2 linked regions of the Arabidopsis thaliana genome follow. The protein of the gene in region 1 interacts with the protein of each later gene in a pairwise test. Each region holds a gene or a part of one and is shown in the gene's direction. Other genes may lie near its edges.

Evidence for each region. The genes of interacting proteins can lie anywhere in the genome.
Region 2: the proteins of DRIP2 (region 1) and HSL1 interact in binary tests that used the Arabidopsis thaliana proteins (3 or more experiments, as listed by UniProt).

The regions. Positions count from the first base shown.
Region 1 is NC_003071.7:13,024,020-13,031,192, forward strand, and holds DRIP2 (DREB2A-interacting protein 2), read left to right. Parts: upstream 1-1,891; 5' UTR 1,892-2,424; coding exon 2,425-2,542; intron 2,543-3,961; coding exon 3,962-4,061; intron 4,062-4,485; coding exon 4,486-4,813; intron 4,814-4,958; coding exon 4,959-5,371; intron 5,372-5,476; coding exon 5,477-5,527; coding exon of another isoform or gene 5,528-5,531; exon of another isoform or gene 5,532-5,819; coding exon 5,820-5,892; intron 5,893-6,164; coding exon 6,165-6,344; 3' UTR 6,345-6,642; downstream 6,643-7,173. UniProt on the Arabidopsis thaliana protein: E3 ubiquitin-protein ligase that acts as a negative regulator of the response to water stress. Mediates ubiquitination and subsequent proteasomal degradation of the drought-induced transcriptional activator DREB2A. Functionally redundant with DRIP1.
Region 2 is NC_003075.7:15,477,581-15,485,413, forward strand, and holds HSL1 (HSI2-like 1), read left to right. Parts: upstream 1-1,798; 5' UTR 1,799-2,232; intron 2,233-2,593; 5' UTR 2,594-2,654; intron 2,655-2,914; exon of another isoform or gene 2,915-3,061; 5' UTR 3,062-3,208; intron 3,209-3,401; 5' UTR 3,402-3,467; intron 3,468-3,544; 5' UTR 3,545-3,650; coding exon 3,651-3,769; intron 3,770-3,952; coding exon 3,953-4,034; intron 4,035-4,122; coding exon 4,123-4,224; intron 4,225-4,320; coding exon 4,321-4,847; intron 4,848-4,936; coding exon 4,937-5,033; intron 5,034-5,126; coding exon 5,127-5,301; intron 5,302-5,489; coding exon 5,490-5,566; intron 5,567-5,702; coding exon 5,703-6,020; intron 6,021-6,107; coding exon 6,108-6,157; intron 6,158-6,281; coding exon 6,282-6,395; intron 6,396-6,559; coding exon 6,560-6,627; intron 6,628-6,703; coding exon 6,704-7,317; 3' UTR 7,318-7,774; downstream 7,775-7,833. UniProt on the Arabidopsis thaliana protein: Transcriptional repressor of gene expression involved in embryonic pathways, such as LEC1, ABI3, and FUS3. Repressor of the sugar-inducible genes involved in the seed maturation program in seedlings.

The DNA.
Region 1 (7,173 bases):
AGATTCTCTGCTTCTTCAACAAGCAATTGAAGAAAACGATGAGCAGATTAGGGTTTTCAGATTCTTCTGCAATAGGATTCGATAAATGCGAGAGTCTGTTTCTACGATTTCATATCTGGAGATTCAGAGCTTCCTCGTGCATGTTTAGAGACTTCTGCTCTTTTATTTTTTTTCGCTTAACTCAGATTTTTTAATATTTATAAATCAATGTATTTATTTGATTTTTATACGGAGAGGATTAATGTTGAGATACAGATATAGTGCGGCGCGGTGTACATGTGCTAGCAAAATTACTAGTTTACTAAGATTTGACTTCTTTTGATTGGCTTAGTGGAAATTCTCCCAAGCCACCATAGATGTTTTGACACGTTGATAGAATGTACTGTCAATGATTTTCAAGAGTGGGAAATTCACAGCTTTGTACTTTGGAGTTTGGAGGAACAACTGGAATGTTTGAGGTCGAATTTGGGAATTGAAATTTTTAACCCCTGGATGAGTTTATATTTGATTGATCTCTCTATTATGGGGTGTTGAATGTTATTTACAAAAAAAAAATAGTCATTGTTTTATGGACGAATAAATTATCTACTTGTCGTTTTTTTACCGAATAACGCATAAATTAGATTCAATACGGATAATTCCTAAAATAAAATAAAAACGGTTAGTTCTTCTAACATACGTTACTATAACAAACGTACTTGACGAGTTGGCATAAAAATGTATTTCTACTGTTTTAAAAGTAACGTACGATTCGTCTTGCATACTGTGACGAAATATGTAAATTCTTTTGTCGCTTAGTGATGATGTGAATTATTTTGATTCATAAAGTAGAAACTCGATACATACCTATTAACTAAACATGTATTATGTTGTGATTCATTTTTGCCTAACAAATAAAATTTATTAGCAAGAACCATTAAAATTTCATACTAATTTTGGATACTAAAATGTTAGATTGATATATAAGAAAAGTATATACTCAAAAAGATTTAACAATTTACCAATATTTAGTATTGGAATCAGTGTAGTGTTTGTTAGTACATGCTTTTCTACATTTAGAAACAGTTAAATTATAATTGCAAAAGGAAGCAATATTGAGGTATTAATAAGGTTTTACACTTTTACTTCAGCTAGCTTTGAATTTTAGAAGTTTTATGGACTATTAAATTATCTACTTGTCGATCTTTCATAAAAACTGTTGGCTCTTGCGAGAGATATGTGACCTTCCAATTGATCGCGAAGTGATAAGATGTATTCGATTTTTTCAGCTTATGCCATTTTTACAACTTTTCGGAAAAATGTTTCAAAATATCCATTATGAATTTGACATCCAAGTTATAAATTAGATAAAATTTACTTGAGATAACATATGGACATATAGATTTTACTTATTTATTAGAGTTCATTAACGAAAAATTATTGAGTTAAATATAGACATCTTTAAACTCGTTAATTTTAAAAAGAAATAATAAACAATATATATATATATATAAATATTTTATTTTCAAATTTTATTTATTTAAAGGGTTTTAATTTTTATTAACAGTTATAATATTTATGATTGTTTCCGGTTACTTTGATGCTATTTTCTCGTAATTCCCTTTTGTACATATATATTTAGAACCAAAAATTCAATCATTGAGAAGCATACTCTCTGTCAAGTGTAATTGATTCCTCCTCTTCATTTTTTAATTCTTCATTTCTTAAGTTTTATTAATTAATTGACTCACCTCTTCATCTTGTTTATTTCCAAGTAATTTTCCTAATGATGTCAATAAACAAAAATAAAAAGATTAAAATCACGCAATATCAGTAAAAAAGGAGAGAGGGTTAAATCGGTGGTGGACTTTGCAGCCCTAAACCATTGTTTCGCCTCGGAAAAGCCCATTTACACAATTGGGAAATAAATAAAAACAGAGTAAAGAAAGGAACGTCTTTTACTCTTTACGGTATCGCTCGCTTCTCTTCTTTCTCCTCAACACGAAGACCCCTCTTGCCTCTTTATTAGAGAGACCCCTTCCTTCTTCTTCTTCACCTTCACCTTCTTCCTCGATTCAGATCGTCTCCTCCTCTGTTTTATACTCACCCTATTCCTTCGAATCTCTCTCCATTTTTATCCCCAGATTCTCCCTTCTTCAACCTCGTCGACTCTTCTTCATCACTCTATTTCTTCCGATTGAGACTTCTTTCACTCTGATTTTCTTCGACCCTTTACGGATATATTCGGTCTTGAGTCTCCATCGGATTTGGATTTGAATGTAGGTATCTCGCACGAGAGTTGTTGTTTAACGTAAATCTGGGTTCTTTTTTTTGGTGGGTCGTTGTTTTTCTTCTACATGCAGTTTTGGGGATAGTACGTGCGATTCATCGATCAATCCTCGTTTAGATAGACATCAAGGATTTAAAGGAGTCGTTAAGAGAGCAATGGAAGGAGACATGGTGGCTAAAGTGAAGAGAGAAACGGTGGTGGCATGCATGACTTGTCCTCTCTGTGACAAACTCCTCCGTGACGCCACTACCATTTCAGAGTGTCTTCACACGTGTTAGTTCCTCTTTCCCCTTCTCGATTTACGTTTCGATTCGATTTTACCCGGTTTCTAATTTTCGCAATTTCTCGTCTTTATCGTCTTCTTTGATTGGTTCTCTGTTGTGTTTTTTTTTTCTTCCTCTTGCTGATTTGGATTGAATATCTGCATGATTCTTGTTGTTAGTCTCGTATGCCACTTATGATCTCCTCTATGTCTCAGTCGATTTGATGAAACTCGAGTCAATGAATAGTTTTGTTTGGTTTTCTCAACTAAAGTAATAGTTGTTGTTGAGCAGAATTTGTAATCTTTGTTTACATTTAGACTGCAAGAATCCTCCTTTATTCGTCTCTTTAGGTAAAATTTGTGAGTGTCTTCTTCTTCGTCAAAGATGGTTTGGTCAAACTCATGACGTCCAAATTTGGTTTTGGCTAATCATGTTGTTAGTTAGATTCAGTTGCTTTGTTATATCCAACTTGTAAGTTTTGTGTTAGGAAGTTCGAGTAACAAGTGCTTTAATCTACTCTCATCGGTTTAATGTAAGTTAATATTTGGATTAAGTAGCATTTATCAGCCTCTTTCTTCTACATGATATTATACAATTAAGACAGTTTAGATCATTTTCTGTTTGGAATGGCTTAATTTATTTCTTTTAACATACAATCCAGATTAGTAGTGAGTTTTCTGCATGTTGAAGTATTTGCTGATCTCTGTAATTTATTCAAATTTAGTTTATATTCCTTTTGGAGTCTAAATCAATCTACCATTCCAAGCTTTACACAACCAATTCTTTGTTACCGTTTACGGAGAAATATACCTTGTTACTCTGTAATTATTTTACTCATTCCATCTGATTTTAAAAAGGTAAATGTTAACAGTTCGGTTCCGTTGTACAACTGACCAACTGCTTATCTCAATTTAATAAAATTTTCAGAACGCCCTGCAGAATCTCTTTTTGAGTTACTGCAGTGCCAAAATTAGGTGTTAAATGCTTCACGGTTTTGTTTCTGGGGATGAATGCAGTATCCCCATCAAATTTGTGATTCCATCTCTTTTGTTTAGGTTGGTAGCTATGGATTTTCTTGATTTTAAAACCAAACAGTATGATGCTCATTAACCACTTGTCTACAAGCTTCTGCCATGACAACTAATATAACTTGATGCAGTAGAGACCATACCAATTATCGGCCTTGCTATAATGGATTTGGTGGAAGGAGTCCGATAATCTAACTTGCATCTAATAAATTCAAACTTGGCAGCGAGCCAACTTGCATTGAACCTCAAACATTATGCTATTCATTCTTTACTTAAACTTTTGATCTGAGAAATTGTTTGTTTTTATGTAAGTTGGTCGCCTTTATTACAAAAGATTTTGTTCTTACTTGATAGTTACTATCTATTGAAATGAAACAAGTTCTTATATCACTTTTATGCAGTTTGTAGGAAATGCATTTATGAGAAAATCACAGAGGATGAGATAGAGAGCTGTCCAGTATGCGATATTGACCTCGGGGGTACCCCACTGGAGAAACTAAGGTAAGTTCTTCTTCTTCTTTATTCCTTACACAATTTTCTCCTCGGTCTTGGTTTAGCAGTGATTCCTTGTATAGACTGTTAGAAGCCTTTTGGCTCTTACTGTTGATGAAACGAAGTTTTCTTACATAATGCTGAAAAGTTGTACATGATTATGCTGAGGTGTGCCACATATGGAAGGTTCTTCCGTAATTTTTGTGGCATAGTGTGAAGTTAATCAAGAAAAGTCATTTCGATTCAGAAGCAGTTATGACCTGAATATGTTGGCTAGTTTAATACTTTCGCTGACACCAACAATTTTTTGTTAGAACCTGAAACAAATCTCTTTAGTACTACACTCTCTCTTACTAGTTGGTCACCAGTAAGAGCTTTGTTGGTGGCGAACTTATTCATTTTCTAAAGAACCACTCTTATGTATTTATTTTAGGCCTGACCACATTTTGCAAGACTTGAGAGCCAAATTATTTCCTCTAAAACGTAAAAAGGAGAGAGCGCCTGAAGTTGTGTCCTCCATCTCATTACCTGCAAAGAGGAAGGAGAGGTCTATCTCGTCTTTGGTGGTAAGCACACCCAGGGTTTCAGCACAAGCTGGTACAACAGGAAAAAGAACAAAAGCTGCTACGAGAAAAGATGTAAGAGGTAGTGGTTCATTCACTAAGAGAACAGTGAAGAAGGAAGAAGAATTTGGAGATGATCATGTAGAGAGCGCAAGCTCGCCTGAAACACTTAAAAAGTTTACTCAGAATAAAAGACAGGTAAAGAAGGTGATCATTGCAGTTCTCTCTTTACCTTTATGTTTTACTTTTTCTCTTTACCAAGTCCAAACACAACGTTATGACTGATTATGGTCTTTATATAGTTCCCCATACATTTATTTATTTATTAATTCTTTTTTTGCAGTCTTCATATGCAAATCCTAACCAGTCCCTCTCTAATCGAAGAAACAAGGATGTTGATGAACCATGGGATTCCAAATTACATCTTTGGAAACCTCTAAATTTTCTTGTGGATGTGGCAAACGGAACAAAGGACCCAAAATCTGAGCTTGGAAACGCATCCCACAATGATGTTCAGGGGAGTAAAACCAAAACAAAGGATCATAAAAGAAAGTGTAAACTCGAGGAAGAGATCAGCAATAACGGTGATCCTACAACATCAGAAACTGCTACACTTAAACGAACGCGTCGGACTCGTCGCAAAAGGTCATCTACTTTTGGTGATTCTAGAATTCCACTGTTACCAGGTGCAGCAAGCCTAAAACAGGAGAGGAGAAACGGTCATGTTTGGTTCTCACTTGTAGCGTCAAGTAATCAGTGAGATTCCTGTTCTGTATCTGAGACTCTGAGTACTTCTGATATTCAATATTTTCTGTGTCTTTTCATTTCTATCTCTTAGTGACACGGCTTTACTGGTTTCAGGGAAGGAGAAGCATCATTGCCTCAGATTCCAGCAAACTACTTGAGAATAAGGTAAGTTGTTCTTTTTGCTTTGCTCTGTTTCTTGTCACTAAGTTTTTATATGTCAACTGTGAAGTCTGTGATCAAATATTACTTATTATTGCATTGATGGCTTTGAATTCGATTTCGCAGTTGTTTTACCCGAGTTTCCATGTCATGTTTGTTTTCTGTGGTATACGTTTCTTGATAAAGCCTTCTTCTTTTTTGGCCCATCACACCTAATCCTTGACTGGGAGGTGTCTATTTTCTTGTTTGGGAGAATTATATTGTGCCAGAGTTGATCCCCTGTCTCATTATATGGTAGGGATGGAAATATTCCAGTTTCTTTTATCCAAAAGTACCTCATGAGGAAGCTTGATCTCAAGAGTGAAGATGAGGTAAGCAATCTTATCTTATGCAGTGGCTACTTTTCTGTTTTATATGAGGTATCCACTCGGTCTAATATGGAATCACATAGACCGTAGTTCTATACATTGGTTCAAGTCTTGTGCTTATCAATATGACTGTAAGGTCCCCATAAATGTTTAAACTAAAGTTAACTCTCCCTTTTATTTCCGACTTGTGTACCGGGTGATATCTTATGATCTGGGACTTTTTCGACCCACCGGTGTTGAACCTTAACTACTCTATGTTTTTTTTTTGTAAACAGGTAGAGATAACATGTATGGGAGAACCAGTGATCCCAACGTTGCAGCTTCACAGCTTAGTAGACCTATGGTTGGAAACAACTTCTAAGCATCAAAGAGTCGCTGCGTCAATAGGTTCATCTGCAAAGGAATTTGTAATGGTGCTAGTTTATTCTCGGAAGCTCCCTGAATGCAACAACTAAAGAGCTATTCATTGAATCTTTTCTAGACCGAGAAGAAAGAAAAGTGCAGGAGCAGTGGAATGTCTTGTGTAGAAAGAAACTTAGCAATTTATATTTATTTAATTGTAATCTTAAAATTTGAAACATTGGTGTGAGACAGACACTTTGTTTGTTTATCCAAGAAGATTCAAAAATGGCTTTTTAAAGGAGATTGTGTCCTTTTTGGATATTTGAATGTATGATTAGGATAATGTTGTCATTTCTATAAATATTTGTTTCCTTGTTTGGACTAAATGGAGAAGTACACGGAATCCTTGTGAATCGAATGACTTAGCCATTATTGAGAAGTCAAAAGAAAAATAACCAAAAAAAAACTTGTGAAGTGTACCTTTAATACAAGAATTAAAGAGAGATGTATAAAAGTTTTCTAACAATTTTGTTCACCAAAAAAAAAAGTTTTCTAACAATTTTTAATACAAAATGCAAAATTAAAGATGAATTTTCTTATTTCTTTTTTTAAAACATAATTTTGAAGAAATTTGGTTGTCTTTTTGCATTTGTTTCTAGATATTTCTAAACTGTTGGGAAATAAAAAAATTTGCACACAAAACATAGTTAAATTCACGTGGTATTTATAGAGATTTACTTCAACCAAATTTGGATTTTGGGTCATTGTTTTATGGACGGATAAACTATCCATTAGTCAAATTTCCACAAAAATAATATGTGAATTAGATTCGACAAGGCTAATTCCCCCACAACATACGATACTAGAACAAACGTACTTGACTACTTGACGTAACAATGTTTCTCTTACTGTCTTGAAAATAACATATAACTCGTTCATCAC
Region 2 (7,833 bases), on another chromosome or scaffold:
TCATCAGATAGTTATTTTTATATTGTCAACTACTATTTTATGCTTGTAAAAATACACAGAGATGGTTCTTGGTTACAACAAGGAATATTTCATATGTGAAATCTGAAAGGCAACAATATTAGACTAATATAGCAAATAACATGATATCAACGTATGGGAGTGTAAATGTCTGAATGTTCCATTTGAGAAATGTCCTCATCATGTGACACAAGTTTATTAGGCTACTCAAGTTAGCTTAGAATTAAGAAGCTAGAACATGTGAAAATAAATAGAAAACAAAAAAGAGGAAACAAAAACTAATAACAGAACGAGAAGTTGAAACCTTTTGGATCCAATTAAATGAATATCGATGTAATTCCAAAATGTTAGTTCATGTGTTAATGTTTGAAGATCTAGTACATATGAATAACATTTGAAATCATTTTTGTTTCATGCAATTACATAACTACAAGGGTTTTCATCACATATTGCTAATTAATTTTGAGTTTAGAATCCAAAACATTTAACCGAAAATCTAATAATTTTAAAAAGGGTGATTTACTCATCTATAAGACTAACTAAAAAAATACGTACTAAATTATTTACAAGAGACAATTGATAACTAGAGTATGAATTAGTTGTTTAGACTTACCCATGTGTCAAAGTCATATTGACAAATGGCTCGGTTATAACTGATTTATATACCAATAATTGCATACAAGTTTGTTTCTTAAATAAATCAAGCAATATTCATAAGATTGCATGTGTATTTTCTGCGAAACTATTAGTACGAATTCGTGGATATGCAAATTTAATGACTATGCAAAGTAGGTGAGAATGTAATAGCGATTAGAATAGCTAGGGTTTAGCCTACCAACCATGGTAATCCAGTTTCCTAATTATCGTTAGTTTTTGAATCCCATTCATGCTTTTATCTATTTTTCAACCAATCATGTCTTTTTACCAACAAAGCATTTCCAGTCTAAGCAATATGGTAGGTAACTCGGTACGATAAACAGAAAGATAATTTATTATTCATCTATAAACGAATAATTGGTTCTCACATTACTCATACAGAGGAAAAAAAGGGATATACAAACCCTCTCTAAATTATATAGTTTTGAATTCACTGTTGTTTATCAACAACATATATAACTCTCTTACCCAATTCTTATTATTGTTCATACTTCATAGACATTAACATGTACGTATAGTGATTGCTACAATGAATGGTATGTACAGATATTGAGACAGACAGTAGAAAGGGATGAATCGAGTATTTATTAAAGAGAAAGGAAAGGGCCAATCTATGCCTAGTTTCAATTATGAAACTCAACCCATGAACTGATTTAAATACTTTACCTATCGGATAAGACTTTTAAGGGTCTAAAATATTTTCCAACTATTTTTCATTTGCAACAAACCTTAAAGTAATATGCTAAAGAGATCTTTTCCAAAGGTGGAATGATTTTTTTGATCTAAAACGGCCCATCAACCAATCTTCGGTCCATTATCCTGACATGATTATTTGGGCTACATTTTTTTAAGTCTTTTGCAGTAAATTGTTGAACCAACAAAAATAAAGAGTTGGAGTTGGACCTAGTAGCTGATCTGCTGATGTGTTGGTGATGGTCGTCGTGGGTTCCTGTCTTATAACCCTAGAAACCAAGCCACTTCATCATTCTCAAATTCAATGCTTTACTAAATAATATTATTATCGAAATCAAAATACTAATTTAGACGTATATAAATCTAGAAGCAAACCTTAGGTGAGGTCGAAACAGAGATGACCTTTTGCGTGCACTTTAATTAATATCTTATTACATAAAATGTCACACTTTGAGTAAACTTTACATTATTCTCTCATCCATAATAAATAAATAAAGCATACTGGGTTTTAGGTCAGGCTGACGTCAGCAGTTTCTTTGTGTTTCATTTTTTTTTTTTTTGTAATCTAACGCTCCAGATTTGTTGTCTTCTCCACGAGCCCTTTGTTGTTGTTGGTAATGGAGATTTTCGCTCTAAGTCATTGTGGCTTCTTCTTCTTTATTTAGAAACCAATTCATCAACTCCTTCGTTATTTCTAAATCTCTTTGCCACTACCTCTTGTTGCTGCAATTGAATTGGCTCAAATCTTCTTCACTTGGTCGACGTAAAGACGACTTTGACTTGGTTTTTAACTTCACTTCTCCGTCGAAAACTATCCCTTCTCTTCCGATCGAATCAATCGGCTCTCTCTCCACACAAACCAAGGTAAGGGTTAACCCTCTCCGGTGATTATGCTCTGATAAATTTACTTGCTCGGCCATTAGTGTTCAGAAACTTGGTGATTTATGCATGTTTTTTTTTGTTCAAAGACCGTAGATTTCGGAATTAGGATTGTAAAAATTGAACCTTTACATCAGTGTTTTTACAAAGTTATAAGCTTTACTTGGAAATCAGTGGTTTTTTGGGTCAACCAAAGTTGAAAGATTTGAAGAAGAATGAAACTAGTTCGATTTATATATCATTTTATTGCTTCTTAAGAAAGTGTCGTCCTTGGTTCTTTATGAATTTCCAATTGCAGCCAAATATGTCATGTTATTCACCTAATTTTTGTATTTTCCAATTGCAGCCAAATATCTTCTCCTGTTACTGGAGACAAACCTGCATACATTTCTGTCATCTCTGTTAAGGTATTACATTTAGTTTACTTGTTTACTTAATGTAGCTGCTTATTACATTTTTTTCTTCAAGTCTATATTCTTCTTTCAATAGCATTAAAAGTTATGTGTATCCTCAGATTAGATCTTGCTGACTCGCAAGTTTTTGGATTATTTAGCGGTTTAATAAGAATTATATCTTCCTTGAAATTGTGCCTAGGTAGTGGAATCGTTGTTAGCCTACTGTAGCTCAGATAGGTGATGGATCATTTCCGTTCAATTGAATAATTTGACTATTTAAGGTTTGCACTTAGTTTTGTCTACAGAATCAATTCATCCTTTTTCACAGTCAAGATATTATTCTCATTATCACTATTGTAGACTTCTTGGACTTCCATACATTCATCAGTCAACTTTTCGATGGTGCGTTTTTATCACAGTGGCACAATTATTTAAGAGGCTCCATCTCCACTGCACCACTGAGAAGTTTCGTGTGGACATGTCTAAGCTTAGAATTGGTTTGGTTGAAAACTGAGGAGATGGAAGTGACTCGTGGTTTCTCTTTTTTGGACAAGTTTCTTCGAAAGGTCTGTTGATTTTCTTTGTCTCTTGTGAACTTTAATTTCGTTTTTTTTTCCTTAGGATGCAATGATATCTTATCTTTAGATGTCAATATCAAATGTCCTTAACTATTCATTCATTTACGGATTTTGATTACTTTATAACAGTTGGTATCTTCTTCTATATATCGTCATCTTATATGTTTTTATTTGTATATAGTCTTTCACAGAAGGAGCGTATTGAGTTTCTCGACAATATATTTGACATCTTCTTCTGCCTTTTCTGGTAAGTGTTTAACTTTTCTGATACCAATTAGTTTTCTTAATCATTGCATATTTTTAATGCTTGTGCCTTTATTAAAGAGGAAAGTTGCGGTGGATTAAAGCACCATCGTGCGGAGAATACGATAAGGCTCTTGCTTCATTTGAAGTTATTGACAGTTGAATCGAGCCGCTCAATTGGTCAATTATGGAGTCAATAAAGGTTTGCATGAACGCACTGTGCGGAGCGGCCTCTACGTCGGGCGAGTGGAAAAAAGGCTGGCCTATGCGATCCGGTGATTTAGCTTCTCTCTGCGATAAGTGTGGGTAAGGGCCTTCACTCTTGTGTCTAATTTGAATACTTTTGCGACCAGTTCGATATTCGCAACACTTCTGCGATAGATTAGTGCTGTGGGTTTGCTTACAATTAGAACAAGAGTGGGTACGTGAAGGGAATCTATATTTCATGATTACTTATTAGTAAACTCTGTGAATGTTGGTTTTTGATAGGTGTGCATACGAGCAATCCATATTCTGTGAAGTGTTCCATGCCAAGGAATCTGGTTGGAGAGAGTGTAATTCATGTGACAAGGTGACGAAAATCCATGGCTTACTACACATGTTTTTGCACTCAACGTATTTCAATTGTTTTCCTTAATACGTATTTACGTTTTTTTCAGCGTCTTCACTGTGGATGCATTGCTTCTAGATTTATGATGGAGCTTCTAGAGAATGGTGGTGTTACCTGTATAAGTTGCGCCAAGAAATCCGGACTAATTTCTGTAAGACAATTTCCTCTCCATGAGTTAACTTCTTGCAAGGGATGCTTCCTTGGTCTTGGTTTCTCTGTCACTATACTCATGTAATCTCTCTTACAGATGAATGTGAGCCATGAATCTAACGGTAAGGACTTCCCCTCATTTGCTTCAGCAGAGCATGTAGGCAGTGTTCTTGAGAGGACAAATCTCAAGCACTTGCTTCACTTTCAAAGAATCGACCCCACTCATTCTTCTCTTCAAATGAAACAAGAAGAATCGCTGCTTCCTTCCAGCCTAGATGCTCTTAGACACAAAACTGAAAGGAAAGAATTGTCTGCACAGCCAAACTTGAGCATTTCACTTGGACCTACGCTTATGACAAGCCCATTTCATGATGCTGCTGTTGATGACAGAAGTAAGACTAATTCGATTTTCCAACTGGCCCCTCGGTCCAGGCAGCTGCTTCCAAAACCTGCAAATTCAGCTCCCATTGCTGCTGGCATGGAGCCTAGTGGGAGCCTGGTGTCACAGATTCATGTCGCTCGGCCTCCTCCAGAAGGTCGCGGGAAGACCCAATTGCTTCCCCGTTACTGGCCTAGGATTACTGACCAAGAGCTGCTGCAATTATCTGGACAGTATCCTCATCTGTATGTTATAATATCGTGTTTCTGCTTTTATTCTACCATTATGCACTATTTTTCTGTGCTAAGGAGTCCTTGACTGTTTATTTTCCTAGCTCAAATTCCAAAATTATACCACTCTTTGAAAAAGTTCTGAGTGCGAGCGATGCGGGTCGTATTGGTCGACTGGTTCTTCCGAAAGCATGTGCAGAGGTAACTTGTTTCTCTGTACGCTTATTTGATATTCCCAAACTATTGCTATCTAAATGCCAGGTATCAGCTATAACCGTCTATGCTTCTATGTAGGCATATTTCCCCCCTATATCTCTACCCGAGGGTCTCCCGTTAAAGATACAAGACATAAAAGGGAAAGAATGGGTGTTCCAGTTCAGGTTTTGGCCTAATAATAACAGCAGGATGTACGTTTTGGAGGGTGTGACTCCTTGCATACAGTCCATGCAGTTGCAAGCTGGTGACACTGGTACTTTTCAAATCCTTTTGTTTCGTTAACTACATTCATAACATATTGATAAACCCACCCTGGTATGGATAAATGAAACATTGGCACTAAAGCGTTCCAATCATGAGGACAGTGAAATACATTCCACGAAGAGATGACCGTACTTTTCTATTAGGTCTGATGTCTTGGATTTTCCATGTTCTCTGCAGTAACATTCAGCCGTACAGAACCTGAAGGAAAACTCGTAATGGGATACCGTAAAGCGACGAACTCTACAGCGACACAGGTAAATGCATAATAAGCTGAGAGTTGCCCCCTTAGGCATAAGTAACTGCCACTGTGAAGTGTATTGAATTAAAGAATCCTTTTCTGGTGCTCTCGTACTGATTCTTTCAGTGAAATATTTTTCCGTGTTTCTTCAGATGTTCAAGGGAAGCAGTGAACCCAATCTGAACATGTTTTCCAACAGCTTGAATCCGGGATGTGGTGACATCAATTGGTCTAAACTAGAGAAGTCTGAGGACATGGCAAAGGATAACTTATTTCTTCAGTCGTCCTTAACTTCTGCTAGGAAACGGGTTCGGAACATTGGGACTAAGAGCAAGCGTCTGCTCATTGATAGCGTAGATGTTCTGGAACTGAAAATAACTTGGGAGGAGGCACAGGAGCTGTTGCGGCCTCCCCAATCCACCAAACCCAGCATCTTTACGCTGGAAAATCAAGATTTTGAAGAATATGACGTGAGTTACTGTTAACTGTTTAGTTATCAAAAACAGCTGGGAACTTTTCACTGTATTTTCTGAAATCATGTATTTGCTGCTACCCAGGAACCACCAGTTTTCGGGAAGAGGACCCTTTTTGTCTCACGTCAAACAGGGTGAGGCCTCATGTACTATGTAATGATAGGATCAGAAGAATTAAGCACCCTTGGAATGATCGAAAGATTTGAAGTAATGAACATCTGATTATTTGGTTCTGATATGTGATCCATGAATTCTCAGGGAACAAGAGCAATGGGTGCAGTGTGATGCTTGTGGGAAATGGCGACAGCTGCCGGTGGATATTCTTCTTCCACCAAAGTGGTCGTGCTCTGATAATCTCTTGGATCCTGGCAGGTAAACGAGGTTGCATGTTCATGTGTTTAACCTAGGCTAGTTACCACAGAACATTGCGCATTTTTTTCCGAAATAACTTAGACTACACATATGGGATAATTATAGATTTTTGACTCACTGAGACTGGCCATCTGAATAATTTGAGTTGCTGTTTATATCGTCAGGTCTTCATGTTCCGCACCTGATGAACTCTCTCCAAGAGAACAGGATACACTTGTCCGGCAGAGCAAAGGTAAAATCCGCAGCTATTATTGGTCTGTATAATTAGAAACTTCCTTCTTTACATAACGAAACTTTCGTCTCAACAGAGTTCAAAAGGAGGAGACTGGCATCATCAAACGAAAAGCTAAACCAGTCGCAGGATGCATCTGCTCTGAATAGTTTAGGAAATGCAGGCATCACCACAACCGGTGAACAGGGGGAAATCACGGTTGCAGCCACGACCAAGCATCCAAGACACCGGGCAGGGTGTTCGTGCATCGTCTGCAGCCAACCACCGAGCGGAAAAGGCAAACACAAGCCGTCATGCACTTGCACTGTGTGCGAGGCAGTGAAGAGACGATTCAGGACGCTCATGCTGCGGAAGCGGAACAAAGGAGAGGCAGGACAGGCAAGCCAGCAGGCGCAGTCACAGTCAGAGTGCAGGGACGAGACAGAAGTGGAGAGCATTCCAGCGGTTGAACTAGCCGCAGGGGAAAACATCGACTTGAACTCAGACCCGGGGGCTTCCCGAGTAAGCATGATGAGGCTTCTCCAAGCTGCAGCGTTTCCTCTGGAAGCATATCTGAAACAAAAGGCTATTTCCAATACAGCAGGAGAACAGCAAAGCAGTGATATGGTCAGCACAGAACACGGTTCGTCCTCAGCCGCACAAGAAACTGAGAAAGACACAACAAATGGAGCTCATGATCCTGTGAACTAAACAGCTTTGGAATTCTCCATGAGTATTTATTCTTCAGTGGTATGTGTTTCTTATTTACACAAAAAATGTCTTCGGTTTCGTCTCAAATTGGTTGAGTGGTTACGACCATTCTACCAATTGTCGATCGAAGAAATGAGGAATTTGTAGTTTGCTTTTCTTTTTGTTTCTGGTGTTTTGGTTTGGTGTGTGGTGAGTTGAGGCTTGAGAGAGAGAGACAAATAGATTTGATGAGGTTTTTGAAAATACATAGGACACTAACTTAATAGTTATATCTAATATGGAAATGGATGAAGCTTCTAAGAAGAGAATCGGTTCTGGAGGTGGAGCTTCAAATTTGTACGCCTATCTATCGCAATCTTAAGTTTCAAAATTCGAACCTGTACATAATTTTTATTATTTTCAAGTTTGTTTATGAAATTTATGATTTACTTAAATTAGAGAAATTGGTTACGCGAGATCCTATTATTTTGATTTGGTGATAAACTTATGGTATGAAGACACACAATCAGTTACATG